Linked DNA regions of Anolis sagrei. The protein of the gene in region 1 binds, or shares a complex with, the protein of each later gene. Links are inferred from orthologs where the notes say so. Each region holds a gene or a part of one and is shown in the gene's direction. Other genes may lie near its edges.

The links.
Region 2: NUP98 (region 1) and NUP85 share a complex: the UniProt entries of both Homo sapiens proteins name them as parts of the nuclear pore complex. The link is inferred for Anolis sagrei from reciprocal best matches to the Homo sapiens genes NUP98 and NUP85.
Region 3: NUP98 (region 1) and NUP160 share a complex: the UniProt entries of both Homo sapiens proteins name them as parts of the nuclear pore complex. The link is inferred for Anolis sagrei from reciprocal best matches to the Homo sapiens genes NUP98 and NUP160.
Region 4: NUP98 (region 1) and CETN3 share a complex: the UniProt entries of both Homo sapiens proteins name them as parts of the nuclear pore complex. The link is inferred for Anolis sagrei from reciprocal best matches to the Homo sapiens genes NUP98 and CETN3.

Annotation. Positions count from the first base shown.
Region 1 is NC_090023.1:2,203,339-2,211,193, forward strand, and holds the start of NUP98 (nuclear pore complex protein Nup98-Nup96), read left to right. Parts: upstream 1-4,844; 5' UTR 4,845-5,057; intron 5,058-7,855. UniProt on the Homo sapiens protein: Plays a role in the nuclear pore complex (NPC) assembly and/or maintenance. NUP98 and NUP96 are involved in the bidirectional transport across the NPC. May anchor NUP153 and TPR to the NPC.
Region 2 is NC_090022.1:117,259,621-117,267,387, forward strand, and holds the start of NUP85 (nuclear pore complex protein Nup85), read left to right. Parts: upstream 1-4,757; 5' UTR 4,758-4,852; coding exon 4,853-4,885; intron 4,886-6,619; coding exon 6,620-6,713; intron 6,714-7,767. UniProt on the Homo sapiens protein: Essential component of the nuclear pore complex (NPC) that seems to be required for NPC assembly and maintenance. As part of the NPC Nup107-160 subcomplex plays a role in RNA export and in tethering NUP96/Nup98 and NUP153 to the nucleus.
Region 3 is NC_090021.1:231,925,696-231,933,278, reverse strand, and holds the start of NUP160 (nuclear pore complex protein Nup160), read left to right. Parts: upstream 1-4,578; 5' UTR 4,579-4,635; coding exon 4,636-4,744; intron 4,745-6,010; coding exon 6,011-6,119; intron 6,120-7,583. UniProt on the Homo sapiens protein: Functions as a component of the nuclear pore complex (NPC). Involved in poly(A)+ RNA transport.
Region 4 is NC_090024.1:171,867,613-171,875,278, reverse strand, and holds the start of CETN3 (centrin-3), read left to right. Parts: upstream 1-4,665; 5' UTR 4,666-4,930; coding exon 4,931-4,947; intron 4,948-7,531; coding exon 7,532-7,666. Other genes in the region: PARS2 (probable proline--tRNA ligase, mitochondrial), read right to left, coding at 1-1,017. UniProt on the Homo sapiens protein: Plays a fundamental role in microtubule-organizing center structure and function. As a component of the TREX-2 complex, involved in the export of mRNAs to the cytoplasm through the nuclear pores.

The DNA of each region.
Region 1 (7,855 bases):
CTATCTACAGACGTCAACATTGACACCGAAATACAACACCACCTGAGCTCTGTGAGTGCAGCATTTTTCCAAATGAAGCAGAGAGTGTTTGAGGACTGGGATATCCATAGGGATACCAAGGGGATTGTTTTGTCCTTCCAAACCTGCTATACACCTGTGAAACGTGGACTATCTACAGACGTCAACATTGACACCGAAATACAACAACACCTGAGCTCTGTGAGTGCAGCATTTTTTCCGAATGAAGCAGAGAGTGTTTGAGGACTGGAACATCCGTAGGGAGACCAAGGGGTTTGTTTATAAAGCTATTGTCCTCCCAAACCTGCTATATGCCTGCGAGATGTGGACTGTCTACAGACGTCACATGCAACTCCTGGAACGATTCCATCAGTGCTACTTCCGAAAAATCCTGCAAATCTCTTGGGAAGACAGGCAGACAAATGTCAGCGTGCTGGAAGAAGCAAAGACCACCAGCATTGAAGCAATGCTCCTCCACTATCAACTCCACTGGACCGGCCATGTTGTCCGAATACCCAACCACCGTCTCCCAAAGCAGTTGCTCTACTCCAAACTCAAGAACAGAAAATGGAATGTTGGTGGGCAGGAAAAGAGATTGAAAGATGGGCTCAAGTTGTTGTTGTTGTTGTTCATTCGTTCAGTCATCTCCGACTCTTTGTGACCTCCTGGACCAGCCCACGCCAGAGCTCCCTGTCGGCCGTCACCACCCCCAGCTCCTTCAAGGTCAGTCCAGTCACTTCAAGGATGCCATCCATCCATCTTTCCCTTGGTCGGCCCCTCTTCCTTTTGCCTTCCACTTTCCCCAGCATCATTGTCTTCTCCAGGCTTTCCTGTCTCCTCATGATGTGGCCAAAGTACTTCAACTTTGTCTCTAGTATCTTTCCCTCCAGTGAGCAGTCGGGCTTTATTTCCTGGAGGATGGACTGGTTGGATCTTCTCGCAGTCCAAGGCACTCTCAGAACTTTCCTCCAGCACCACAGCTCAAAAGCATCGATCTTCCTTCGCTCAGCCTTCCCTAAGGTCCAGCTCTCACATCCGTAGGTTACTACAGGGAATACCATGGCATAGACACCGAGAACTGGGAAGCCCTGGCTCTTGAGCGCTCCAGCTGGAGGTCAGCTGTGACCAGCAGTGCTGTAGAATTTGAAGAGGCACGAATGGAGGGCGAAAGAGAGAAACGTGTCAAGAGGAAGGTGCATCACGCCAACCCTGACCAAGACTGCCTTCCACCTAGAAACTGATGCCCTCACTATGGGAGAAGATGCAGGTCAAGAATAGGGCTTCACAGCCACCCACGGACCCACCAGAATACTGATCCTGGAAGACTATCCTACTCGGCCAACGAGGGATCACCTAAGTAAGTAACCCTAATGTAGCCCTCTCCAAAGCAAACAGGCAGCAGCAGCCAATTATTTTCCCTCTGCAGCCTCAACCCCTGCTCCCTGGCCCACGGCTTCTTAAACTATGGGTTTCCTTAGTGAAGAGTTTCTCAATTGCTCCTCCAGATGTTTTGGACGTCAGCTCCCAGAAATCCTAGCTTGTTTAACAGTTGTTAAGAATTGTGGGAGCTAAAGTCCAAAACAACTGGAGGGAGGGCTGAAGTTGTCACGAAAATATCATTGCAGATTTGATCAATGTGGATTTAATATATGTGTGGGAATAAATGGAAGAATGTATGGATGGAGTTAATAATTTTGGGAGCACCAGTATAATATTAAGGCCTGCAATGACTAAATTTGCTTGCTGGATTGTAATTAAAAGTTGCTAATGAGAACTGAAAAGTAAACCGTGATAAGGACTGTGACAATGGTTCTTTCAAGTTAAGGAAATGTTTGCAATGACTAACTGTAAGGAATGAATGTTTGAATGCATGTAGAAGAAGAACCGGCCTGAAGAAACTACAACATGGTGTCCGTGCAAAGCATGATATTATGGGTTGGACTTGGCAGTCGAAGCGAGGAAGCAGCAAGGCATAGCTGAATGACAATGAACAATAAGGTGTGCGGCCGAGCGTGTAAGGAGTGTAAGGAGTGTGCAGGTGTACCCCATAAGTCACGTGGATGTCCTGAACTTGAAAAGTACGGGACTTAAAAGGGATGGAACAGCTTGATTATTAAAAATAGGAAAAATGGATTTTGGCCTATTTAATGCAGCGGACCCCAAGAACATGCACGCTTCCTGATCCAAGGCAACGGAGCGTCCGCACCTCCTTGGAAAAGACTGATCATCTTTACCTGTGTGTATGCATGAATGTGTGTGTGCACGAGAGCTCTCCCTTGATGTGATTCTGATATGATTCTGTGATTATTGTATTTCAATAAATGTTACATGAATAGGGTCAAAACCAAATTTGGTCTCTGAAGTGTCTCATTGGTCTAAACTGCATTACTATTCTTTGAACACTGAACAAAAGAACAGGAACCTCTTTGGGTTCATAACATAACTACTTGTTGGACTGTGATTAAAACCTGCTAATGAGAACTGAAAAGTAAACTATGATAAGGACTGTGACAATGATTATTCTATGATTCTATGATTCTATTCCTTGAACACTCTGCACAAAAGAACAGGAACCTCTTTGGGTTCATAACATAACTACTTGCTGGACTATGATTAAAACCTGCTAATGAGAACTGAAAAGTAAACTGTGATAAGGACTGTGTCAATGATTATTTCAGGTTAAGAGAAATGTTTACAACATTCCTTATGTTAAGAAGGAAGTCAACACAAGTCTTGTGTTTGTCAACACCAATCAAGAAGATCAACATCTTGCTGGGAAACTGAGATGGAGCCAGGATGGAAGACGACGGTCATTATTTTGCAACTTTGGGACGACATCAGCAGAACATTCCTATAAAAGACTCAATCTAATAATGCTCAAAGTGTGGCAGACCTGAGGAGTCTGTTTCACCCGCCATGCTCTGATCCATGGGAAGGAGAGAGATGTTTTCTGCTTCCCTGGAGACTAGGACGCAATGGAACAATGGCTTTAAACTACAAGAAAGGAGATTCCATCTGAACATGAGGAAGAACTTCCTGTCTGTGAGAGCCGTTCAGCAGTGGAGTGTGGTGGAGGCTCCTTCTTTGGAGGCTTTTAAACAGGGGCTGGATGGCCATCTGTCAGGGGTGCTTTGAATGCAATATTCCTGCTTCTTGGCAGAATGGGGCTGGACTGGATGATGGCCCACCACGTCTCTTCCAACTCTAGGATTCTATTATTCTATTAGCATACTTCAATATCAGTATTATATATTTCCATATTGTACTATACCATATTATTAGTAATATTACATGTAATATAAAACATGTAATTATAATATCATATTATTATTATTATATAATAATAAATATTATTAGTAGTAGTATTATATATATCAACCTTCTCACACCAAAGGGGTCTCAGAGCAGCTTACTATACACACACACACACACACACACACACACAAATATATAATAAGGCAGGAAGCAGCCAGGCTTTGAAGCCGCAAGGCCATTCAATGCTAATCAAGGTGGCCAATGGAAACATTCACACTTGCCTCCAACAGACAAGAGTTCTTTCTCTCACCCGGGACCTTCCACAAATACATAATCAGGCAGGAAGCAGCCAGGCTTTGAAGTTGCAAGGCCATTCAATACTAATGAAGGTGGCCCATGGAAACATTCAAACTTGCATCCTGCAGACAAGAGTTCTTTCTCCCACCCTGGAACTTCCAGAGATATATGAACAGGCAGGAAGCAGCCAGGCTTTGAATCTGCAAGGCCATTCAATGCTAATCGAAGTGGCCAATGGAAACATTCACACTTCCCTCCAGCAGACAAGAGTCCTTTCTCCCACACTGGACCTTCCACAGATATATAAACAGGCAGGAAGCAGCCAGGCTTTGAAGCTGCAAGGCCATTCAATACTAATAAACAGGCAGGAAGTAGCCAGGTTTTGAAGCTGCAAGGCCATTCAACGCTGATCAATGTGGCCAATGGAAACATTCACACTTTCCTCCAACAGGCAAGAGTTCTTTCTCCCACCCTGGCCCTTCTACAGATATATAAACAGGCAGGAAGCAGCCAGGCTTTGAAGCTGCAAGGTCATTTGAGGCTAATGAAATGGCCAATGGAAACATTCACACTTGCCTCCAGCAGACAAGAGTTCTTTCTCCCACCCTGGACCTTCCACAGATACAGGCAGGAAGCAGCCAGGCTTTGAAGCTACAAGGCCACTCAATGCTAATAAACAGCCAGGAAACTGCCAGGCTTTGAAGCTGCAAGGCCATTCAATGCTAATAAACAGGCAGGAAGCTGCCAGGCTTTGATGCTGCAAGGCCATTCAAGGCTAACCAAGGTGGCCAGTGGCAACATTCACATTTAACCAATGACCGAATGGTCTCCGCGCTTCGCCACTCACCGCTGCCGCCGACCGCGGGGCCCTTCCTCGCTCGGCCCGCCTCGTTAGGCCCAACCGGGGCCTTGAGGGGAAATCGCGGCCTAGTCTCCGCTCCCAGGCGCCTTTTTTCCTTGAAGCAGGTTGCCATGGATACCCGCAGGCCAACCCAATGAGTCGGGGGAGATATTAGCCCCGCCCACTTCCAGGAAGCCACTTCTTCCTCTCCTTGTTTTTAGTTCCTCTCCTTCCTCTCCAATCCCCGTTTGCGATGTAAGGAAAACGGAATCCGATTGGTCGGCAGCGCGTCCAATCAAGGGCGAGGATTCTGTCTCAACTTGAGGCCCGGCCAATGGCGCTCTTTTCCACGGGGAGGTGGAGACTGCGACGGGCCAATGGGAGGCGGCGGTGACGTAGGACGGCCCGTGCGTCGCCGTGCGTGCTCCTGACGCAGCCCGCAACCGCTTCTCGCGTGAGGAGGAGAAGAGAAGGAGGCGTCGTTCCTTGTCGTCGTTGCTGGTGCTTCTGAGGCGCGGCTTCTGAGGAGACTCTTGGCCCGCGGAAGAGGAGGAGGAGGAGGAGAAGGAGAGGCCGCCGCGGGAGGAGCGGGAGGAGAGCCGGGCGAGGGCCCTGCCTTCTCCGGCGCCTCCAGGCCCACGAGCGGGTAAAGGCCGGGCCCACAGGGAGGGAGGGAGGGAAGGGAAGGGGCCCCCAAAGGCCATCCAAACAGACCCCCCAAGAAAGACCCATCCAAACACTCCCGACAGATGGCCGGTGTATTATGATTACTTGTTATGTTATGATACATATTTAATATATTTATTGTTATACTGTATAATATATTATTTATTTTAAATATACTTATGATATATATATATATATATATATATATATATATATATTATTTATTTATTTTATTTATTATTGTGATATATATTATTTACTTATTTATATGCCACCCTTCTCATCTCGAAGGAGACTCAGAGCAGCTTACAAGATATATTTTCATACATTATGTTATATTATTACCATTTTATTTATTTATTTATTAATCTTACTTCTCAGCCCGAAGGCGACTCACAGCGGTTCACAGCAAATACAAACAGCAAAAATTCAGTGCTACAGTATAGAAACAGTTAACAACCTAACACATTACACAATTAATAAACAGTTACCATAGCACAATATCAGTATAATAATAATAATAATAATTTTATTTATATAGATTTTATTATTATATTAACTATTTTAGTAATATTATTATAACTTTATTTGTACCCCGCTAGCATCTCCCGAAGGACTCGATGCGGCTTACATAGGCCAAGGCCTCAAAACACAATACAACACCTAAAGCAAATCAAAAACAGTTAAGCAGTATGAACAACAACAATAAAAACAATATTATTATTATTATTTGCTTTATTTCTATACCGCGTTTCTCAACCTAATTAGGCGACTCAATGCGGTTTACACAATGTAAATTAACACAACAATAACAGTTAAAACACATCATACACAATAACAAATACACAATTAATCATTCATAATGCCTCGATCACAAAGCAAAATCCGGTCTCATAATCCTTGTGCCATTCCTATGTTCAATTTACCGTCATCCTATGTTCGATTGCACTGATTAGCCAAACGCTTGCTCAAAGAGCCAGGTTTTAACCTTCTTTCGAAAGACACGATAAAACTGGGCCGGGCCAGAGTGATAGGTGCAAGATTAAAAGTGCTGGTGTGGCAGGAGGTATGTAGGATTATAAGTAAGTGCAGTGTGCGGTGTGCAGCAATCTTAATTCTACTAAAGTGCTTCTAGGACTTGGTATTGGAGATTCCTAATCTGGAAAGGCACATCGGAACAGCCAGGTCTTCAAGTTCTTTCTGAAGACTGCCAATGTAGAGAAAAGGAAAGAGAAGGGGCCCCCAAAGGCCATCCAAACAGACCCCCCAAGAAAGACCCATCCAAACACTCCTGACAGATGGCCGATGTATTATGATTCGTTGTTATGTTATGATACATATTTAATATTTATTGTTATACTGCATATTGTATTATTTATATTATATATATTTATTATTATGATATATACTATTTATTTATCATTTATTTACACCATTTATATGCTGCCCTTCTCACCCCAAAGGGGACTCAGAGCAGCTTACAAGATATATTTTCATACAAGCTTTATTTATTTATTTATTTATTCTTTACTGTATTTGTATTTGAGACTCGTGCGCCAACTGCGACTGTACCTCGCGAAGGCTGACCTGGCCGGGGTGGTCCATGCCTTGGTCACCTCTAGATTGGATTACTGTAATGCGCTCTACGTGGGGCTGCCCTTGAAAACGGCTCAGAAGTTCCAACTGGTCCAACGGGCAGCAGCCAGGATGTTAACTGGCGCTCCTTACAGAGAGAGGTCAACCCTCCTGTTTAAGGAGTTCCATTGGCTGCCGGTTATCTACCGAACCCAATTCAAGGTGCAGGTGCTTACCTACAAAGCCCTAAACGGTTTGGGACCTGCCTACCTGCGTGACCGCATCTCCATCTACGAACCCACGCGCTCCCTCCGTTCATCCAGAGAGGCCCTGCTCGCGATCCCACCTGCGTCGCAGGCGCGTTTGGTGGGGATGAGGGACAGGGCCTTCTCTGTGCTGGCCCCCTGACTCTGGAACACCCTCCCCAAAGACATTAGACTAGCACCCACGCTGGCAGTCTTTAGGAAGAATTTGAAGACCTGGCTATTCCGATGTGCCTTTCCGGAATAGGATAATCTCCAGCACTACTCCCAGAAGCACTTTATTAGAGTTTAAGACTCTCTGCACTCTGCACTTGCCCGGAAATCCAAAATACCACCTGCCACACCCAGCACTTTTTTAACCTATACCCATCACTGGCCCGGCCCTGGTTTTTATTGCATAATTTATGTATTGTTTTGTTATTGCTTATGTTTTAATTTGCTTTAAACTGTATTGTTACTGTTTTGCTGTTGTTGTGTTGAGGCCTTGGCCTTTGTAAGCCACATCAAGTCCTTCGGGAGATGCTAGCGGGGTACAAATAAAGTTTAATAATAGTAATAATAATAATAAATATATTTATTATTATGATATATATTATTTATTTTATTTATTTATTTACACCATTTATATGCCGCCCTTCTCACCTCGAAGGGGACTCAGAGCGGCTTACAAGATATATATTCATACAATATATTATATTATTAGCATAGCACAATATTAGTATAATAATAATAACATTTTTATTTATATAGATTTTATTATTATATTAACTATTTAATTTTAATGATTATTATAATACATATTACTATATTATTATAATATGATTGTTATATTAATTATAACATATATTATATTAAATATATTAATTTTTATTATTATATAAATTATTACTGTGTTGTATTATTATATTTAATACTGCATATTATATACAATGTGTTATAT
Region 2 (7,767 bases), on another chromosome or scaffold:
CCCGATGGGGAGAGAATCATGCCCTGTTTTCCACAATGACATCGCCCCTTTCTCAGGAATGGGTTCATAATCCTATTATCATGAACAATATTTGCTGTTTGGAAATATAAAGGACACTGGTGCAGAGTCATCAGCCCGTGAGGTCGGGGTTCATAAAAACAATCACCAAGACAATAAAACTCATGGGACCCAAGCGCCCACATTGTTTGTCCCTGATGTTGGGACAAGGTAATCCAATCATAAAACTATATCTTCCTTTTTTGGAGTTTCCCCTGCCAACAATTGGAGAGTGCTCCAGCTGCATTGGAAGCAGGGAATACTCTTCCATTGGCCAGTGGATGCCACAGTCCAACCTCTGCAGGGAATCCTCCCTGGTGTCATCAGAGCTCAGTCAATTATGGTGGTGCTGGCCCATCTGGGGCAGGTGCAGGAATTTCAAAACACTGTATTGTATAAAAAAGTCTGCTGTTCACCGTAATGGTGTCTCAGCTTACTTTGGCAGATAACCACAAGTTGGCATCACTTTCAGCTGATTGAATAAAATACCTCAGTGGCTTCTTCAACTTGGTGAGCTTTCTTCAGGAACGTTGAGCTTCACTTGCCAGGCACACAGACTAACAGGGCAACCTGCAGCAGGTACCAGTATCCACTTATTAGGACTCCACATTTCAGTTATCCACATTTCAGGTTTTGCTATCAGCTATCTCACTATTCGCAGCCATTCTAAATTGCTCTAGTTCAGTGACACCACCAAGCTTCAGCTCCCAAGATTGATTCTACAGTATTGAGCCATGGCAAAGTGGGGTCAAACTGCATTAATTCTACAGAGTAGACGCACCCTGGGTGTGAGAAGGGCAACTGTGAGAAAACTAGACAAGATTGTGAAGTGTAAAGGTGTATAATTTAATTGTTTTAAACATCTAGGGAAACGTGTCAAATTATTAATGGACTATGTCTGATTTTTCCAATGACAAATGTCTTGACTAATTCAGATTATGACTCAGAGACCAGAATTCCAGGAAGTAGGAGACACTTGATCAAAATGGGGCCTATAAATACACCAATCTCTACCTGAATTATTTTATCAACAAGCAGTTAAAGTGAACTTAAAGTGCAGTGATGTACTGCATTGTTCACCAAGACCACAGTGCATTAAATTAATCTTATGACTTTCATCAACCATGTATGAAATATCTTAGGGAGATTACAAGCAATCCTGTTAGAAAGCTGTCTAAACTAATATCACAGGCTCATAAGCTAATTATATATGAATTAACTCTCAGACCTCCACCTACTGCTAATCAGCATTGATGAATGGCTGAAGTTCTAGCATGTTGAAAAGAAGTACATTATAATTAACTTTATTGTAAAGCAGGGATATGGAACTTCTGATTTGCCAGCCTCTATGAGCCTTATTTCACAGGGTGCACATACTGTAAAAATAATGTAGTTTGACATCACTTTCACTGCCAAGACTGAAAGCTATAGAACAATGGAAGTTGTAGTTGGGTGAGATCCCCAGCACTCTTTGGCATAATAATAATATTATTATTAATAATAATAATAATAATAATAATAATATATTTATAACCTGCCCTCTCTCCCTGAAGGGACTCAGGGCAGTTTACAGAGAAGGCTAAAGACCTTGTAAAACTACAATTCTGATTATTCTATAACACTGAGCCATGGCAGTTAAAGTGGTGACAAACTGCATTATTTCTGCAGTGTTGATGTGCCCACAACGTGTTCTCTTTCCTCTAATGCTGTGTAGGCATTTGATTAGCTATAAGAATTGTGTCTCATCAGCACTGAAGTAGGACAATCTTATTCAATCTAATGCAAGAAACTATCTTCTATTAATGAAGACAAAAGGCATTTAAAGTTGTCACTTTTCTTGCATTGCTTTCATACAATGGTTGAATCTCTCTCTCTCTCTCTCTCTCTCTCTTGGTAACTAGTGTGTTAAAATCCAGTAAAAGGAGGATTCCCTATTGATGTTTGTGTTATGCATGGGAGGCTTAGGGGCAGCCAAACACACCCCGAAATAATTGCATCACCTGACAGGACACATTTTATGATGTATCGTATTTTCCAACATATAAGACGACTGGGCATATAAGACGACCCCCAACTTTTCCAGTTAAAATATAGAGTTTGGGATATACTCACTGTATAAGACTACCTGTCTTCCAATGCACACCAAATAAAAATTTAAAAATCAGATTCAATTTCAATATGGTAATTTTCCTATTACTGTATCTCCTTCTCTGCCTCTCAGATCTTGCACATGCGCACTTCACTGCAGTCTTCAGGAGCGAGATCTGAGAGGCAGAGGACTGGTACGATAATAGGATACAAGGGCGAGCCAGACAGGTAAAAGAGTTGTGTTTTTCTGGGCCCAGAGCCACTCTATCACTTTTTTCCATACCCCGGGCACCCTGGACGCCTGCAGCTTGCTCTGCCCTTCACTTACATCTTCCCGGTGAGGTGCCCCTTCACCTCACCATTGGGACCACATTAAGTCCACGAATCCTGATGAATGTATTTTCTTCTACTGTACTTGTACAGCGTCGCCCTTAATGCGTTCATACAGTCGCTGCATAAGACAGGGACGCAGCTACTGCCATTTTTGAGCCCCCCCCCCCCCCCCATATGCGGCAACCACAGATTCTCCAATCTGGATTGGAAGTTTCAGCACCCGCTCTATAAGATGACTCCCGGTGTATAAGATGACCCCTGACTTTTTGAGAAGTTTTTTTGGATTTAAAAGGAGTCTTATACACCAGAAAATACGGTAGTTGAAATATTCCACCTCTTTATTTAATTTTAACTCTGTAGTGTGATAAACTGACACAGCTATGAGATGGAGGATGAGGGCATTGTTCCTCCAAATGTTTCAGCCTCAATAAAATGTTCCTTCCTTTCCAAAAATTCTAGTAGGTAAATCTAGAACACCTAGAATTCTTAAATGTACTGAGTTAACAATAACGACAATATTTATACACCCATCAGTGAATTTACTGAGTTTGCATTATCTTTTCCTTTAATGCTTTAAAATCTACGGTATTTCTGAATGGTTGACTTAAGTTTTAAGTTACTACAAAAACAGAAAAAATAATTTAGGATATGGTTTCTAATGAGGGAGGCAACTGGACTCTGATCATGCAGACCGGAGGAGTTTTATTAGCAACCGCCTGTAGCAAAATCCTCTTCCTGTGAGATTTTGCCTTATGAAGATTTTGCCTTTTAAATCCAAAAAAACTTCAGATACTTATTATATTTACTTTGTGTTGTCAAAGGCTTTAATGGTCAGAATCACTGGGTTGCTGTGAGTTTTCCGGGCTGTATGCCCATGTTCCAGAAGCATTCCCTTCTGAAATTTTGCCCACGTCTATGGCAGGCATCCTCAGCGGCTATGACGTCTATTGGAAATTAGGCAAGTGAGGTTTATATATCTGTGGAGTGTCCAGGGTGGGAGAAAGAACTCTTGTCTGTTTGAGGCCAGTGTGAATGCTGCAATTGGCCACCTTAATTATTTAATGGCCCTGCAGCTTCAAAGCTTAGCTGGTTGCTGCCTGGGGGATCCTATCTTGGGAGGTATTAGCTGGCCCTGATTCATTCTTGCCCGGAATTCCCGTTTTTGTTTGTTTGTTTGTTTTTAGTGTTGCTCTGTGTAGTATGACATGGATCAGGACAATAAATAAAAAGCAACACTAAAAAAAAAAAAAAAACCAGGGGAATTTCAGGCAAGAATGAATCAGGGCCAGCTAATACCTCCCAACAAAGGATCCCCCAGGCAGCAACCAGCCAAGCTTTGAAGCTGCAAGGCCATGAAATGATAATTTAATGGCCTTGCAGCCACTGAAATCCACAAGCATGTGGATAATAGCCACGAAAATGAACAAGATCTGGCCACCAGTATTAAAAAAACTCTGAAATCAGGAAAGTAAGTAAACATCAGACAGAATCTGCTGCCTTTACGATATTCAGTGTGTTCAGCCGTCTTGACTTCTGGAGAGAGTTCAGACTTGATTTGCCCATGTAATCGGCTTTTTGGCAACTCATGGCATGCGTAGAATTCAGTGGCTGCAAGAACAATGATAATTTAATGGCCTTGCAGCTTCAAAGCTTGGCTGGTTGCTGCCTGGGGACCCTCTAGTCCAGTGGTTCTCAACCTGTGGGTCCCCAGGTGTTTTGGCCTTCAACTCCCTGAAATCCTAACAGGTGATAAATTGACTGGGATTTCTGGGAGTTGCAGGCCAAAACACCTGGGGACCTACAGGTTGAGAACCACTGCTCTAGAGATACAGATGGACCGATCTTGAAATGAGCATTACATGCAGCTTTCTGAATAAAAGGTGGGGGTCCTTTTATTTTGTCGACTAGCCGAGTGCCTGATTCTAAGGAACTGCATGTATCGAACCGAAGCTATTTTAGAAGGGACCGTGCCGGTTCCCCTTCTCCTGTTTTTCACGGTATGAGGAGAAAATTAGCCTTGGGAACTTCGTTTCAAGAATCTGAGAAGTATAATTCTAACAGGCAATTTGGAAGACAGCCTCAACGGCGGGGAAAGAAAGGGTCCATATCTATACGGTCACACCTTCCCGAGGAAGAAAGAAGGGGAATATCAAAGGAATAGTGTGAATAGGTCTATATTTTTTCCTACCTCTCTGGGCAGGAACGGGGAGAGGGAAGAATGCGCTTGCGCGGCGGAGAACGTCCTTACGTCAATGTGCGCGCGGCTGACCGAGAAGGACGGCGATTGGCTGGCTGCTTTCCAAGCCTCCTCGCGAGAGGGAGGAAGGCTTGAGCGGCGGAGAAGCGCGAAGGCAGGCGGCCGGGAAGGAGAGCGATGGAGGAGGTGGACGAGGAGCCCACGGTCACGGTGCGGAGCGGGGCCTGCGGGATAAGTGCATGCAGTGGGACACCACTTTAACGGGCGTGTCACTGCTGTGGAATCCTGGGAAGTGTCTTTTCTTAGGGTCTTTAGCCGCCTCTGCCGAACAGTGCTGGGGCCTCCCCAAACTACAAATCCCAGGGTTGCCATAGCACTGAGCCATGGCAGTTGAAGTCATGTCAAACTGCATTAAATTCTGTGGTATAGATCCCCTTTGAGACAGAGTTTTTAAGGAAACTTCTGGGCTGAAAATGATGATAACAATAATAATACTAATAGTTGAAGTAACAATGAATTGATAGGAATGTTTCATGCTGACTCAAGGGATGAAATGAGGACAAAACCAAGGTACTCCCAACTTTGGAATATCCTTCTAAACCCTGACAATTGGGAAAAGGAATCAAAGGATCACTCACACAACAAGCAAGTAAGCACTCATGAAATGTGGCAGGCAATTATGATGCATTGGAAATTTCATGGTAAGGTAAAGGTAAAAGTTTTCCCCTGACATAAAGCCTAGTCGTGCTCATCTCCATTTCTAAACCAAAGAGCAGGCGTTGTCCATAGATGCCTCCAAGGTCAGCATGACTGCATGAAGCGCCATTACCTTCCTGTCGAAGCAGTACCTATTGATCTACTAATATTTGCATGTTTTCAGACTGCTAGGTTGGCAGAAGCTGGGCTTAAACGTGGGAGCTCACCCCGCTCCCTGGATTTGAAACGCCAACCTTTTGGTCAGCAAGTTCAGCTGCTCAGTGGCTTAACCTGCTGTGCCACCAAGGGGCCCTTTCACAGTAACAACAGAAGAAATAATGGATGCATCTACACTGTAGAGTTCAGGCAGTTTGACACCACTTTGACTGCCAAGGCTCAATGCTGTGGGATCCTGGGAATTGTAGTTTGCTGATGCACCAGTCCTCTTTGGCAGAGAAGGCTGGAGGCCTTGTAAAGCTACAACTCCCAGGACTCCCTGGCATTGAGCCAGAGCAGTTATAGTGCTGTCAAACAACATCAGTACTATGATGGACACAGTTTAATATAATCATAGAAAGATAGAGTTGGAAGAGACCGCATGGGCCATCTAGTCCACCCCCTCCCATGTAGGAAAAGCACAATCAAAATATCCCTGACAAATAGCCACCAAAAAGGAGCTTCCACCATACCCCAAGGCAGATAGTGAATGACAGGAAAATAATTTTATGTTGGGATATTATTTATTTATTTATTTATTTACTGCATTTGTTGACCGCCGTTCTCAGCCCTAGGGCGACTCACGGCGGTGTACAACATATAGAAACAGTTTACAATAAGGGATATAAATGTTTCCCTTCATAAATTAAGTTAGTTTAATTCAGACCTGTGTGTGCTTGTGCCAGCTAGCCTTGTAAATGTCTGCATCTACAGTAGTGGGAAACTATTGGAGCCATTAGCCTTCCAGGAGGCTTCCTCCTTCAACAACAACAACCACCATCATCATGAAGAAGCTGGGGCTTACAGTGGGAGCTTACCCCACTCCCCAGATTCGAACCTGCAACCTTTCGGTCAGCAAGTTCAGCCACTCAGTTGTTTAACCCGCTGTGCCACCACAGTACTTCCCTCTTTTCTGATTTTGTTTCCACCATGTATGTATTTCCAGTACTTTTGAAAAGTATATTTTTGTATGTAAATATCCTATGTCACTATGTTTCCCTGTGCTATCCTCTCATTTTCTTTGAAAAACAGCTGATTCCTGGAGTAAACTCAGACAAGAAACAGTTATGCTTTTCGTGGGGACCTGGGGAGATGCTGGTGTGTGAAACCTTGTTTAGATCTGCAGGTTGGCATTATGTTACTATCTTACAAGCTTTTGTTGTGTTTTACAAATTCATGATAGCAAATACATTGCAATGGTGAGCTGTATTTTCTTTTTTGCTTGCAATAAGATTTGATGGGCTTTCTGGTTCAAAGGGATATCTAGGTCCCTTTCACACAGCCATATAACCCCGAATATAAAGGCAGATAATCCACAATATCTGCTTTGAACTGGGTTATCTGAGCCCACACTGCCATATAATCCAGTTCAATGTAGATTTTATACAGCTGTGTGGAAGGGGCCCTAGTCTCTGAAACTAGATAGGCTCAATATGATCCATACCTGGATGGGAAACTTTTTGGGACATCACTCACAATGCAACTGGAGATATACCGTATAAGCTTTCTTCAGTAGATGAATAATTGTATGAAGAACTCCATTAACGATCCTCAAGAGCTGCTTTTGTAGAGTTCCCAAACAGAACTTCACAAAATATCCATTGAAATTAAGTCCTTTAAGTATTTTGGTTCCAAGTTGTTTTCTTATGACTTAAACAAAAACATCAAACTCTTGAATTTGACCAAGTTGCACATTAGCAACCAGTATGAATCCTTGAGTGCATCCCTTGTGTCCAGTTGATCACCCTTTCTTGTCAGTCAGTGAGCAGCTGCATTCTGCACCAGCTGCAACGTCTGAAGCATTTTGAATGGTTGACTTACATAGGAGGCATTGCAGTAATCTGATTTGCGGTTACCAGTTTCTGAACCACCATGATCAGGTTGAATTATCTGAAGCTCCTAATTACTGAGCTCAGTGGGGATTCAAACAATTTCAGTGAATGCAGGCACACACCCCTGAGTATAGGTATGGGAACCACTCATCACAGCACCTCCATCTTGTCTGAATACAAGGCAAAACAATGTTATTGCTTTATTAAGTTTATCTCTTTTTTAAATAGATGTTTTTATTGCAGACACAGGTAGAATGATATCACAATTCATCACCATTTCCGAATATATATCAAATATTGTTTTCATAGTGTTCTTATTCTTATCTATTCCACCTTTATCTCCCACTT
Region 3 (7,583 bases), on another chromosome or scaffold:
CACACCCTAGAGCCATTCAAAAATCATGATATCCTGCCAAATTTTCTGTTGCCCTCGCAAACGTAACATAGTTATGGGATTCAATTCCTATTACAGCCAGAATTCTCTTATGTGAAAGGGCTACGAGATAGCTATAGCCCAGAGGTTACACAAATTAAGTCACTAAAGAGGATGTTATGTTAAAATCATACAGGTACATTGTTATCTGAGTATATGAAAATGATGAAAAGGCATGGTTTTAGAGGCAATACTTTCCTGCTGCATAACAAAGCTTCCAAGGCCATTGTGATACAATGAGGTAGCACAGATGAAGTGACAACTGATATCTAGATTCAAAGAATCGAACAGCAAGGATCTAAGCTCATCTGGAAATCCATTGATAAAGCAGATAAAAGGCTGACCCTGAACTAAATACATCCTCTTGAAGAAAGTCCAAAGTATAGATAGAAAAGAGACGTAAGGGTCCAGGTTCTTAAAAAATATAATTTGAGTGTATAATTTAGGGTGTCCAGCCTCCCAAATCTAATCTCATCTGCTATAGCAAGGGAGATGTGAGAATTAACGATAAAGACAGAATTAAAGGTTTAATAGAACTAAACTGGTATAACGCCAGGGCTGGCATCCATATGCCCAACTGATGCAAGAAATGATGGTTGTCATGAAGTAACAGCAAAGTGTTAGTTATTTGCTTTGTTATTTAGGGGTTTTTTAACATCTGAAGATGGGCAAAAGTGTTTCTGGTATTTTCTGTGTCATGTGTCAAAACAATTCAGCTAGTTTTGGGCATTTGCAGCTACTATTTAGGCAACAAAATACTTTGGGTCAGTTGTGTTGATGAATTACTGGGGGGGGGGTAGAAAAAGATATTTTTAACTCTGTATATTGATCACTTTGTTCTACAGTCTCAACAAATCTGCCTTTTGGTATGGAAAAGCAACCACTGGGGGTACATCTACACTGTAGAATTTATGTAGTTTGACACCACTTGCTATGGCATAATGGGAGTTGTAGTTTGGTGAGGCGCCAACACTATTTGGTGGAGAAGGCAAAAGGCCCTGTAAAACTACAGCTCCCAGTATTCCATATCATTCAGTTACAGTTGTTAAAGTGGTGTTAAGGGTGTATTAATTCTACAGTGTAGGTTCACCTTGTGTCTCACTATGAGAAACAGCAACACAAAAGGTGTAATACAGACCAAAGCTAGATTGCTGATTCAGATTGTAAATTTCAGCAGTGTTCCAGGGCAGAAGCAATGGAGATAACTTTTTAAAAACCCATAAATAAATATATTGCCTTTAAAATTAATTAATAAAGCAAAGAGTTTAGAAAGGTTAGTTTTTTGAACAATAATCCTCAGGAATCTTTTACCTAGCACGAACATGTTGGCTAGTTGATACAGGGAATTTTAGCTCTCCAAAATCTAAGTTCTTGAAAAGTGTTGTTCTGCTAAAGTAGGGGTAGGAATCACAAATTGCAACTTTTAGCATTCCTCTCATATTTCAGAATGCTAAGTTAAATATATTGGGATCCCACCTATGCTGTCATATAATGCAATTTCAAACTGAGAGTTGTAATCCAACAGCATCTAGGACTCTATTTGATTTCCATTCCTGTATGAGAGAAAGGAGACAATAAAAAGGGAAATCAAAGCTTTTGGGGAAAGCAAAGTCTTTGAGGGAAAGAGGAAAGTGTTTGTTTTTATTGTTGGATTGAGAAAGATAAGCAACAAAAGCAACTCACTAAGTGTTGTTCTTGCTCTTTCTGGACTCTGTCCTCAATCCCGTGATAAATAATAAGCAGAAATGACTCTCACAATGTTGCATAGGACTATACAAAGAGAAACATTTTCTTGAAATTTAAAACAAAGCATTGAGTGCTCATGGGATAATAAAACATGTCTTCACAAGCACTTTCTGTACTAATATTCTCATACATTACTTTAATGTAACGTTGTCTCGCTCTCCATAGGGCGAAAAATGTGAGAACAGAACAATATGTAAGACTATATTTAGGTCTGTGACTCCATCACCTTTCATATTTTAACACATTTGCCTGATTAAAACGTGAACAGAGATTTGAAAGTTTGCATCATTGGTTTTATGCATTTTGGTTGGTCAATAAAGATATTATTCTTTTGTGGATACTTCCAAAATAAGACAGACTCAATTTAGTCATTATTTATTCTATTGAGAGTTCAGACTTGATTTTCTCTAAATCCCATTAATTTGGGTTTGTTGGGGTTTTTTTTTAGTAGTCTGTGGTATCCCTATAACTCTTCTCCAGCACATTGAAATGAATAGGTTTTCTTAACATATGAACTTATGGGGAAAATAAACAAACGATGTGCCAAGGATCTTAAAGTGACTGATGCCCTCTAGAGACAGAGCCAAGGTAAATCAGCAACTGGAATTCCTGAAAACATAAAGCATACTGACCTCTATTTTGTTTTTTAAAAAGCAAGAACAGGAGACAGGAGGAGAGCCAGTGTGGTATACAGTAGTAGTTTAAGTGTTCAACTACAACTTTGAGACCAGAGTTCAAATTCCTGCTCAGCCATATCTCAATGATATAAACTCATGAGAATTGTAACTTTACAAGGGCATTTGCCTTCCTTGCCAAATAGTGCTGGTACCTCCCCAAATTATAAATCTCATTATTCCATAGCATTGAGCCATGGCAGTTAATGTAGTGCAATATGAACAAATCAGTAAAATGACACATCAGTGTCCAAGGAAACACCAGACCTCTTATCACTGACCTTAACACAACTGCTGTGGGGAAAAAGAAACAAAAAAGAAAGATTTGAATGAAAGGGAGAGTGAAGGGAAATAGCTGCATTATAATTCATTATAATGCAGTCTATAATTCAATATTATGACATGTGTTATCTACTGCCAAGGCATTTGTATTATAAATAAAAGTTGCATGGACATGTTAATAAGGTAAATACCAGTCAGTACTTTCTCATTTGATTTCTCTTTGATCACAATGGCTACAATCCTATCCTATACATGTGCATAATACTCTTATAGTCAGCCCTCCATATCCATAGATTCTGCATGCATGGATTCTACCATCCACAGCTTGAAAATATATATTACAAATCCAAAAAAGCAAAATATTGATTTTGTTTTTAATGCGAGTGGCACCATTTTCTACACAATTGTATATAATGAGACTGAGCATCCATCTTTATTTATTAATGTTCATGTATAATTGTTATTTGTTATCCTGTATTTTATGATGTGGCATTGAATTATTGCCAATTGTAAGCTGCCCTGAGTCCCCCCAGGGATTGAGAAGGGTGGGGTAAAAATGTTCTAAATAAATAAATAAACAAATAAAAATGCGCTCAAATTTCTGAATGACACTGTATGTAGCATGGGTGATAGTCATGAAAACTTATGCTATGTGCAAAGAAGCTGTTAGGAAAATGTGATAATGCTCTCAAATCAACCAGAAAAGGAAGAAACAAAACCTCTCCCATGGGCCAGGATCCTCTTCCTTTGAAGAATACTGAACCTGGCAGATATTATGATGCTACAGCACCTTCCAATGTGTTATTTCTTGTAACAAGAGCTCCAGGCATCCATGCATATGGAGGTTATATTCCTTACATACAGCACACTGCTCACACAATGCTTTTTGGTGACTTGAGGGCTTTTTTGTGACACACAGTGTAAGAAAGTGAGTCCACATCCATGGCACCACAATATCTTCTTTGGAAGAAAGAATAATAAAGTAAATCTGAACTTGAGTTACAGTTATTTACAGAAGATGAACATTTGATTGGTAAAATATATAAGCTGTTATTAACACAAACTTTAATTTAAAATATTGTATAACATTACCTTTGGTTTATATGTATAAGGATAATACAAAAATGTCTTCAGGGTTCTGATTAGAAATACATTTATATATATCCTTAATGTGTTGTCGAAGGCTTTCATGGCTGGAATCACTGGGTTGCTGTGAGTTTTTCGGCCTGTATGGCCATGTTCCAAAAGCATTATCTCCTGACGTTTTGCCCACATCTATGGCAGGCATCCTCAGAGGTGAGATGGGAGAAAGAAACTAGGCAAGTGAGGTTTATATATGGGAGAAAGAACTCCTGTCTGCTTGAAGCAAGTGTGAATGTTGCAATTGATAATCTTGATTAGCATTTAATGGTCTTGCAGCTTCAAAGCTAATTGCTGCAAGGCCATTCAATCAATGCTAATCAAGGTGGCCAATTGCAACATTCACGCTTGCCTCCAGCAGACAATGTCTCCCACCCTGGGCATTATTCCACAGATATATAAACCTCACTTGCCTAGTTTCCAACAGACCATTCAACCTGTGAGGATTGATGTTTATATTTGGAAAATCATTGGTTCCGGCTGGACATCATCCCTTTTGAAATCAACGCGCACGCAACGACCGTTAGGCCGGACGTAACTGAGAGCCAATCATCCCGCCGTTGCCCTGGCAACGCCGCCTGTCCTTTCCGTAAGCAGCGTAAGGGCACGAGTCGCGCAGACAGCCACGCCCCCTCCCGCCCCATGATGCACAGCGGAGGCGCACTCCCTCCGGCCACGCCCTCTTCCTGCTCCTGCCTCCCGTGAGGCCCCGCGGCGCCGCGCGCGGGAAGGGAAGATGGCGGCGTCAGTGGCCGAGGGCCTCGGGGAGCGTGGCTACCTGGAGCTGGGCGGGACCTCAAGGAGGCCGCGACGCCGAGCCCGGGAGCTCGCCTTCAGCCTCCCAGGTGGGTGCTCTTTCCGGGCCAGGTGGGCCACCCTCCTATTCGAGCAGCGGTATCAGCCAGGCTGGAACAGTAGCTCAGGCCTGCAAAACCGAAGGCCGTCAATCCAAAAATGACCTCAGGGTTGCTCCACCACGTACATACTCCTATGTTCCTATGTTGTAGTACGTTACCGAATGAAATTTGTACAGGTTGAGTATCCCTGTATGCGAAATGCTTGGGGCTAGAGTAGGCATGGGCAAACTGAGGCTCTATTGGTGTTTTGGACTTCAATTCCCAGCAGCCTCAGGCCCCTCCCTTTCCCCCCTCAGCCGCTTAAGCGGCAGAGGGGGAAAAGGAAGGGACCTGAGGCTGCTGGGAATGGTGGGAATTGAAGTCCAAAACACCTATAGGGCCTCAGTTTGCCCATTTCTGGGCTAGAGCTACCCTGGATTTATTGGAGAAAATATACATACTTGTATTTGAATATATGTACCTAATGAGATATATAAATGGGCATCCAAATCTAAGCAGACAATTTATGTTTTGTAATGAGGTACCTTTAGATGGGACCCAAGCCTAAGCATGAAATTTGATTATACTTTGTATACATTTTATACTAGGCATGGGCAAATTTCAGCCCTGCCTCCAGGTGTTTTGGACTTCCAACTCCCGCAATTCCTAACAGCCAGTATAAAGATATTTTTAACGTACTTTTTAATGGTTTGTGCATGGAACGCAATTTGTGTATGTTGTACTATCAGAAGGCAAAGGTGTCTCTATGTCAGCCATCCAGTGTGGGCAATTTTGGAGCATATCAGAGTTCTGAATAAGGAATGTGCAACTTGTATTCACATAAGTACTAAAAGAACTGTGTATGCCTTCTTTGTTAAGGTTTTTGTATTTGTCACCCAAAATACTTTAAAAACTGTTACAAGCATTCAATTCACCATGAAAAAAGAATATGAAGGAAAGCTGCCATTTCTAGATGTCCTAGTTATCCGCAAACCCAATCAACAATTGAGCCACAGTTTACAGAAAACCTACACACATGGATAGATACCTACATAAAAACTACAACCATCACCCAAGTAAAAAAAGAAGCACAGTTAAAGCCCTGGCAGACTGTGCAAACAGAATCTGCGAATTCCTCCTCCAAGGGGAACTGGACCACCTAAACCGGGCTCTACAGGCCAATGGAAAAACATTTTTTTGTTGCCAGCAGGTGTAATGGTATTCTTTTATGTGGTGCATGGTGGCTGACCAGCCTCCCTTGTTTGCCCATTGCAGGTGGTGGTTTGTCCTCTACAGCCGCGCGGTATGCAGACAGCGCTGGTGGATACTGGTACCAGCAGAATGCGCAGCTGGGATCGGTAACCAGAAACCGCTTCATTCATTGGTGAGTGGGCCAAAGAAGTGCTTTTTGTCTGGCTGAACAGTTATTCTGTTCTTGTCACAAATATCTACCCCTTAGTTTGCTTTGAAAGGGGCCCTAGATTAAGAATTCTGTTTTTGGGGGGAGGGAGCAACCATATTAGGTTGAGGAAGCAATACTTATAGAATACTTTTCAAACTACCAAACTTACTATAACTTGTGATACAGATTCAGTCCACTTCCTCAGAGGAATGGAGTATTATCTTTGAGTTCCTTTCTAGAGAAAGAAATAAACAGACTTCCACAAAGTACATGATAAGCTGGAATACTGATTGAAGTCAGAGTAGAATTAAATACACAAAGTATAGTAAGGATTTTGTTATTAATACCATGAACTATGAATGGAAGTGTTGGTGATAACAAACATTCTAGTAGTGTCTGCTTCATTTGTTTCTTTCCAGTGGGCCCTTTTTGTCTGTTCCTGGTAACCTTTGTGTTTAGAGAGATGTCAACATTGATTATTTTTTTTTGCAACTAAGATTGGAGGAATGTTTTCTAGATCTTTGTCCAAAGGTGCTGTGTAAATAAAGCTGATTTTGTAAAGCTTTGATCAGGGGCCCCCAAACTAAGGCCCTCCAAGGTCATTTACCTGGCCCTCGCCCAGGGTCAACCTAACTCTGAAACGACTTGAAAGCACACAACAGCAGCTATTTAATCAACCAAAAACAGGCCCACACTTCCCATTGAAATACTAATAAGGTTATATTTGTTAAAATTGTTCTTCATTTTAATTATTGAATTGTTTTAAAGTGTTTTTTGCACTACAAATAATAATTGTGCAGTGTGCATAGGAAGTCATTCATGTTTTTTTCAAATTATAATTCGGCCCTCCAACAGTTTGAGGGACTGTGACCTGGCCCTCTGTTTAAAAAGTTTGAGGACCCCTGGCTTAGATGCTCCTTTTTTTGCATTGGCCAGTTCCTCACTAGGTAAAAATATACATCCAGGGAAGGAGTCTCAGGTGAGATGTGTATTTAAATCAGTGATGCGTAATTTGAATGTCCAGTGACAGCAACTGTATATGGTATTGAAATGGACATTGAAGTCAGAGTTAAAGCATTGATTTCTAGTGGCTTCCATAACAGTGTGATGCGGGTTTTGCTAAAGGTTTTAGTTTGAATTTTACAGGAACTGTCCCAGATGCTGAACTATAGGCCCACAAATGATTTCAGCACCTTGGATAACTCCTATAGAGTTTGCATATAAACCAGATTGGAGTTCTTGTTTCACTAACATGACTAGAATTGAATAAATGCGACTTACCTAAACATTAACAACTGATTTAATTGATTATAGTACTCTGTTGGGACTAACCAGCCGTATAGCAAAGAATTTCAGAGCCAACAAACAAGATAGGTTCTAGACATTTGTTCTTAAGTTGAATTTGTATGTAAGTCAGAACTACTACATTTTTTAAGTGAAAAGCCA
Region 4 (7,666 bases), on another chromosome or scaffold:
CAACCCATAGCAGCCCATTTCAGCTGGAACAGGCTTATTTTGGGCAGTGTGGACAGTTGCATTAAAAACAGAAGAGTATTTGGTGCCCAAGAAAAAGGTATGGCCAACTTCAATCCCTTTGCTTTCAATTAGTTTTCCTTTGCAAACAGGACAACCCATTTCCCTGGAGTTCATTGTTTCAACATTGGCTGAAAAGTCACAGTTTGCACACATCATCAGTTGGTCCTCACCAATCTCAGCAGGGAGTTGGAACTCATGAGACATTGTTCCTCCAATGCTTCCTGTAGCAGCTTGAACCTTTACAAACTGAAGGTCCAATTTGTTGAAAATATTGCTGTAAGCGTCACACACACATTCATAGGTTTGGAGGGCAGCTTCCTTGGAGGCATCAAAGGTGTACATGTCCTTCATATAAAATTCTCGACCCCGCAGCAATCCAAAGCGTGGCTTTGGCTCATCCCGAAACTTTCTTGTTACCTGATATAACAAGAGGGGAAGCTGTTTGTAGGACAAGCAGCCTTGGGAAGCTAGGAGGTCTGTGATGGCCTCTTCATGGGTAGGTCCTAGACAATATTCCTGGCCGTGCCTGTCTTTCATTCGTAAAAGTTCCTTGCCCAGCAGCTCCCACCTCCCACTGGCTCTCCAGAGCTTTGCTGAGCACAATGTGGGCATGTTCATTTTTTGACCACCAATGGCCTGCATTTCTTGGTCTATCACCTTGATCAGCTTCTCCATTGCTCGGACTGCATATGGCATGTAATGGTAGCAACCAGGGCTGGCAGGACAAATCAGGCCTGCTAGTAACATCAGTCTCTGACTTTTGCATGTCATTTCCACAGGTTTGCTCTCCTTGGATTCCATGCTTTCCTCTCGCAAATTCATGGACCTAAAATGTTGGGATACATGCTTTCGTTTTGTCTGAAGATTGCAATAAAACCTGCAACATTGTTGCTGTTTTTGACACCAAACTGCCAAACTAGGAAGTAGCATATTCTTTGTTCTAAACAGCCCATCCATTCCAGAGAGGAAATTTCTATTTAAATCTGTAGACAGAGAGGGAAACATATAAAAAAAGACATTAGTTTCACATGAAGTTCACACAAATTTTATATCCAGTGGCTGGAGACCAGGGTTCAAATTGTTGCTTGGTCATGGAAACCAATTGGGTAACACTAGTCAGGTAACATTCTCTCGGCCTCAAAAAACTAAGCAAACCTCCCTCTAAACAAATCTGGCGAAGAAAACTTTGTCATAGGTTTGCTTTAGGGTTGCCACATTTAGAATTGGCTTGAATGTGCACAACAACAAATGTGTATTTACAAAGCATAGCTGAAACAAAAATAACACAAAACATTGCATTCTGCTTCTTTATAATCAAACTGCTCTATCTGATTTCATGTACTGATAAGCATGGAGCTTACCATGAGTTCATGAATTACGGCTCTGTTCCCTGAAACAGTATAAACAGACCTTAATCAGTTTTTCTGCCATCTTTGAAACATAGATACAATCAGGAAAAATAAATACATAGAGTACTCACAAGAATACATCCTTACACTACAACATATAAACTTTACACTGATACAGAAACATTAACATCAGCAGCTACTGGTTGTTCACATACCTACAGAAACAAAGCACAGTTACTGCATTTTTAATTTTCATTTTTCCCTATTGTTTTTCTATGTGTTCTTTAAATCATGTAATCCCTCTCTCTCTACACTCTGGGATTTGAAGAAAGAAAGAAAGCTGGATAGAGAAAAAGAATGTCCCCCTTTACATTGTCCAGTTACACTGCTATTACAACTTTAACCCAAACAGTAAACACATTATTTATTTATTTACTATATTTATATACCGTCCCTCTCAGCCTGCAGGCGACTCGGGGAGGTTCACAGTCGGTACCAAGACCATAAAATGCCATTTCAATATAATAAAACAGTTGAATAATAAAAACCATAACAGAATCAATAAAATCAATATCATTATACAGCTCAAAATAATAATACTGTATTTACTTGATTCTAATGCTCACCTTTTTTGACTAAATTACCTTCCCAAAATTGGGGTACATATTAGATTTGCGTAACATGGTAAATGCTTTTTTTGGGTTTCAAGGTTTTGAAAATTAAGATGCGCATTAGATTTTATGGCACATTAGACTCTAGTAAATAATATTGGTGTCTTCGTTTTTAGGTCTGTTCCTGGGTTATATGGGACGCTGATTTAGAAAATTGAATTGGATACACTACATCAGCTCTAGTTTCTTAGATATCATTGATTTTCTATGGGTGATGAAGACTGGTAGATGGCATATGTTCTGCATCTAAAAAACTAGAACTGAGAAGGGGAAACTGGTGTTATTTTTGGAATCAGCAGCTCAAAAATACCCAGAAACAGGGCTAACGTTTGGGGCACTAAAATGTGAGCATTGTGGGAGAATCTAGAACAGGCATGGGCAAACTTTGGCCCTCCAGGTGTTTTGAACTTCAACTCCCACCATTCCTAACAGCCTCAGGCCCTTTCCTTTTGCCCCTCAGGCGCTTAGGGGCTGAGGGGCAAAAGGAAGGGTCCTGAGGCTGTTAGGAATAGTGGGAGTTGACGTCCAAAACACCTGGAGGGCCCAAGTTTGCCTATGCCTATTGCAGAATCAATGCAAATTGAGCCCACTTGAATTACCACAGCTGATGAGGCACCAGCACTATTGAGAAGGCCAAAACGCCTTGTAAAACTAGAACTCCCACCACCCCATAGCATTGTGCCACGGGCAGTTAAAGTGGACTCAAAATGAATCAATTTGGCAGTTCAGATCCACCTCTGGCCTGAGCAAATCCCCAAAGCGTGGCGTCCAGCTAACTGAGCCACTACATACATACCAAACGCTAAGCAGGACTAAAGAGCGCGCTCTCAGCCCTGACGCCCCATACTGCGCATGAGCGCTGCTCTTCCGGGTTTGCCGCGAGATTTCGGTTCCCGAGTGCCCTCGGATCTCGCGAGACGTGAAACAGCCTTGTCTCATGTGTTACCACTCTCTACCTCTATAGATCCTGGCAGACGTTTAGCTTTTGCTTTCTAAAGGCCCTTCCACACAGCCATTTAACCCAGAATATCAAGGTGGAAAACCCCACAATATCTGCTTTGAACTGGGTTACCTGAGTCCACAATGACATATATGCCACACAAGTTCCATCTTGTCTCCTGTGCTATGCTAATAATATAATTTAACATAATATATTGTATATGCATTTAGTATTTATAATATAATGCAATATAATACTACTAATAATAATATGACATTATAATTATATATTTTATATTATATGTAATATTACTAGTAATATTACAATATAATGGTATAATTATTATTTATTTACGACATTTAAATGCCACCTTTCTCACCCCGAAGGGGACACACAGCGGCTTACAAGACATACAATATATTATAATATAATTATTAGCATAGTACAATATCAGTATTAAATATTACTATATCCTGGGCACACAGAAGACTGGGCGACTTGGAAGGCACTGAACAGACTGTGCTCTGGCACCACGAGATGCAGAGCCAACCTTCAGAAATGGGGCTACAAAGTGGAATCCTCAACATGCGAGTGTGGAGAAGAGCAAACCACTGACCACCTGCTGCAATGCAACCTGAGCCCTGCCACATGCACCATGGAGGACCTTCTTGCAGTAACACCAGAAGCACTCCAAGTGGCCAGATGCTGGTCAAAGGACATTTAACCAACTACCAAACTCACAAGTTTTGTATTTGTCTGTTTGTTTGCTTTGTTCTGTTAGAAATGTAATATAATGGACTGGTTGCTCTGACACGACAAATAAATAAATTACTATATTGTACTATATCATATTGTAATATTATTAGTAATATTACATGTAATATAAATATATAATTATAATATATTATTATTAGTGTTACATTGCATTACATTATAATATTATAAATATTATAAGTATATACAATATATTATTGTATATACATATAATATTTATAATATTATAATGTAATGCAAGTTCTCCCTAGGGGGTGAGAAGGGTGGGGTAGAAATGCCTGAAATAAATAAATAAATTATATTATTAGAATAGCACAGGAGACAAGGTGGAACAATATAATGGTATAGTACAATATAGTAATATATAATACTGATATTGTACTATACAAGATATATATATATATATACACACACAAGATATATATATATATATATACACACACACACACAATATATCATATTGTGTGTGTGTATATATATACATACATATATATGTTGTAGGCCGCTCTGAGTCCCCTTGGGGGTGAGAAGGGCGGCATATAAATGTCGTAAATAAATACAATAAATAAATATATTCCAGTTCAAAGCAGATAATGTGGGATTTTATTTAGCTGTGTGAAAGAGGCCTAAGATTCAAGAGTATTCATTCTCCAAGAAAACCCAATGAAATTAACTTGGTCTCTATAAGTCGACAAGGAAGTTAATAACACATCCATTCCTAAAAGTCCCAAAATTCGTTCTTCGCGCCAACCGAGCAGATTGGGCGAGTTCACGTTCTCTTGACGTCATCAACCCGCGCCGTACCATTTCTCCCCTCCCTTCGCTTCTCTGTGACGTCCCATGCCTTCTGGCAACCTCGCGAGGAAGGCGGGGAGGGAAATCCGATTGACAAGGGACTTCGCCTATCGAAGCGTTGCGATACAAGAAGAGGCGGGAGGGACGCTCCTCAGCGCCCAATCGCGACTGAGCTCTGAAGAGGGACGCCGCATTGTTGACCGAGAAGCCGTTTAGCTTAGGCGTCCGGCTTTTGAAAGGGAAGACGCGTGTTTTCCGGTGGTGGTCCAAAGTCGCCGGCGTTCCTCCGACTCGGCAGCCCACCCGGTGTCCGGTAGAAGGAGCAGGCCGAGGCGAGGAGAATGAATTTAGTGTCAAGGTTGGTTTACAGCGCGAGGGAACCGGGAAGGGAGGGAGGGAGCGAGTGCTCGCCCGCTTCTTGTTGCCATGGAAACTCAACGGCGCTTGTTCTCCGCCCCCTCCCTTTTTGCCTCGCGAGGCGCCTCAGGCGGGCGCGCGCTCCGTGTCCCTCAGCTGCCACCTGGCGAAAGGCTCACGCGCCGCCCCCGCCTCTCTCTCTTTTCCTCTAAGGCGCTTAAGAACACCCAGTCCCTGCCTGTTTCGCCCTTTTGGCCCTTGCCTTGGTTCAATCATGGGTTGAGGTTTTTGCTGGCGTTGTATTCCATTGTGAACACACGCAGACAGACCCACAGGATTTCTAGGAAACGGAGTAGAAGGAAATTGTTTTTTTTCTCTTTCTTTCATCTATATATAAATTGAAATATAATGTTTGTTTGTGGAATTAACAGAACTCAAAAACCACTGGACGAATTGACACCAAATTTGGGCAAAAGACACCTAACAACCCAGTGTATGTCCTTCACTAAAAAAAAAATGATTTTGTCATTTGGGAGTTGTAGTTGCTGGGATTTATAGTTCACCTACAATCAAAGCGCATTCGGAACCCCACCAACGATACAATTGAACCAGACTTGGCATACAGAACTCCCATGACCAACAGAAAATACTGGAAGGGTTGGTGGGCAGTGTTCTTTGGTTTTGGAGTTGTAGTTCACCTACATCCAGAGATCACTGTGGACTCAAACAATGATGGATCTGGACCAATTCTACACAAATACTCAATATGCCCAAATGTGAACACTGATAGAGTTGGGGGGGGGGGGGGAGAGAATCTTGACATTCGGGAGTTGTCGTAGCTGGGATTTATAGTTCACCTACAATCAAAGAGCATTCTGAATCCCACCAACAATAGAATTGGGCCAGACCTCTCACACAGAACCCCCATGTGGGCCACAGCAACACATGGCAGCGGACAGCTAGTCTATATATAAATTAAAATGTAATGTTCATTTGTGGGATTAACATAACTCAAAAACCACTGGCCACAATTTGGCTACAAGACACCTACTAACCCAAGGAGTGACTATCACTCTAAAAAATTGATTTTGTCATTTGGGAGTTGTAGTTGCTGGGATTTATAGTTTACCTACAATCAAAGAGCATTCTGAACTCCACCAATGATGGAATTGAACCAAACGTGGCACACAGGACTCCCATGACCAACATGGACATTGATGGGCATTGATCTTGAGTTTGGAAGTTGCAGTTCTCCTACATCCAGAGAGCACTGTGGACTCAAACAATGGTGGATCAGGACCAAACTTGGCACAAATATTCCATATGCTCAAATATGTACACAGATGGAGTTTGGGTTAAAAAGTAGACTTTGACATTTGGGAGTTGCATTTACTGGGATTTATATTTCACCTACAATCAAAGAGCATTGTGAACTCCATCAATGATGGAATTGAACCAAACGTGGCACACAGAACTCCCGTGACCAACAGAAAATACTTAAGGCCATCCAGTCCAACTCCCTTTACCAGGGCAAGAAAATGTAATAAAGCGCTCCTGACAAAGAGCCACAAAGCCATAGATGATTTCACACACACACAGATACAGTATCATAGATTTGAAAGAGACCCCTAAAGAAGGACAATTCCATGTTGCATGTTCTAGGGTAGGCAACCCAGACAATCTCGACATCAACATGGACAAAGACACAGCAAGAAATACTGTTTACCCACAAGACATTACATATATTAGAAACCAGCACTTTCTCATTACTTCATTTTCCAGATCACCAGCCTGTGGGATTAACATAACTCAAAAACCACTGGACAAACTGACACCAAAATTGGACACAATACACCTATTGTGTAAACCAACAGGTGACCATCACTCATCAAAACACTGAAAAACACAATGCAAGAGACTTAAAAAGCCAAAAAAATAAAAATACATTATAACGCATGTGCAAAACCACATACAGTGTTCCCTCACTTATTGTGGGGGTTACGTTCCAGGACCACCCGCAGTAAGTGAAAATCCGTAAAGTAGGGATGCTATATTAATTGTGAGGTTTATACATTATTGGATGTTATTGGGGTGGCATCGGGGCCTCCAACGGGCTGCATCCCAACCCGGAATGAGGAGGTGAACAAAGCATGTCCGCTCGCAGCCCGAGCCATCAACAAAATGGGCAAAAACAAGTGACAGGACACAAGGGGCCACACACCAGCCTCCCTTTCTGAGGCCCATTGTAATGTAAATATTTTAAATTCATTTTTTAAAAAATACCTGCAACAGCAAGTCCACAAAAAGCAAATACCGAAATATATACACACACATATACACAGACTGGGCCACACCAACGCATGGCAGAGGACAGCTCGTTTTAAATAGATGTCTTCCCCTTCTCCCTGTAGTCTTTTCTTCTACTTGGGGTCCCCAATTCTCCAGTGCACGCATGGGCAAACTTGGGCCCTCCAGGGATTTTGGACTTCAACTAACAAAATTCCTAACAGCCGGTATTGATAGTAATGGCATTACATCGTGCTCTCTATAAAATATTGTGCAAATTGTTTTTCTTCTTGTTGCAGAGCGGAGTTTTCTGTTGAAAAAAATAAGAGAAAGAAAAGAAGAGACTTGACTGAAGAACAGAAGCAAGAGATCAAAGATGCTTTTGAGCTCTTTGACACAGATAAAGACAAAGCTATAGATTACCATGAACTGAA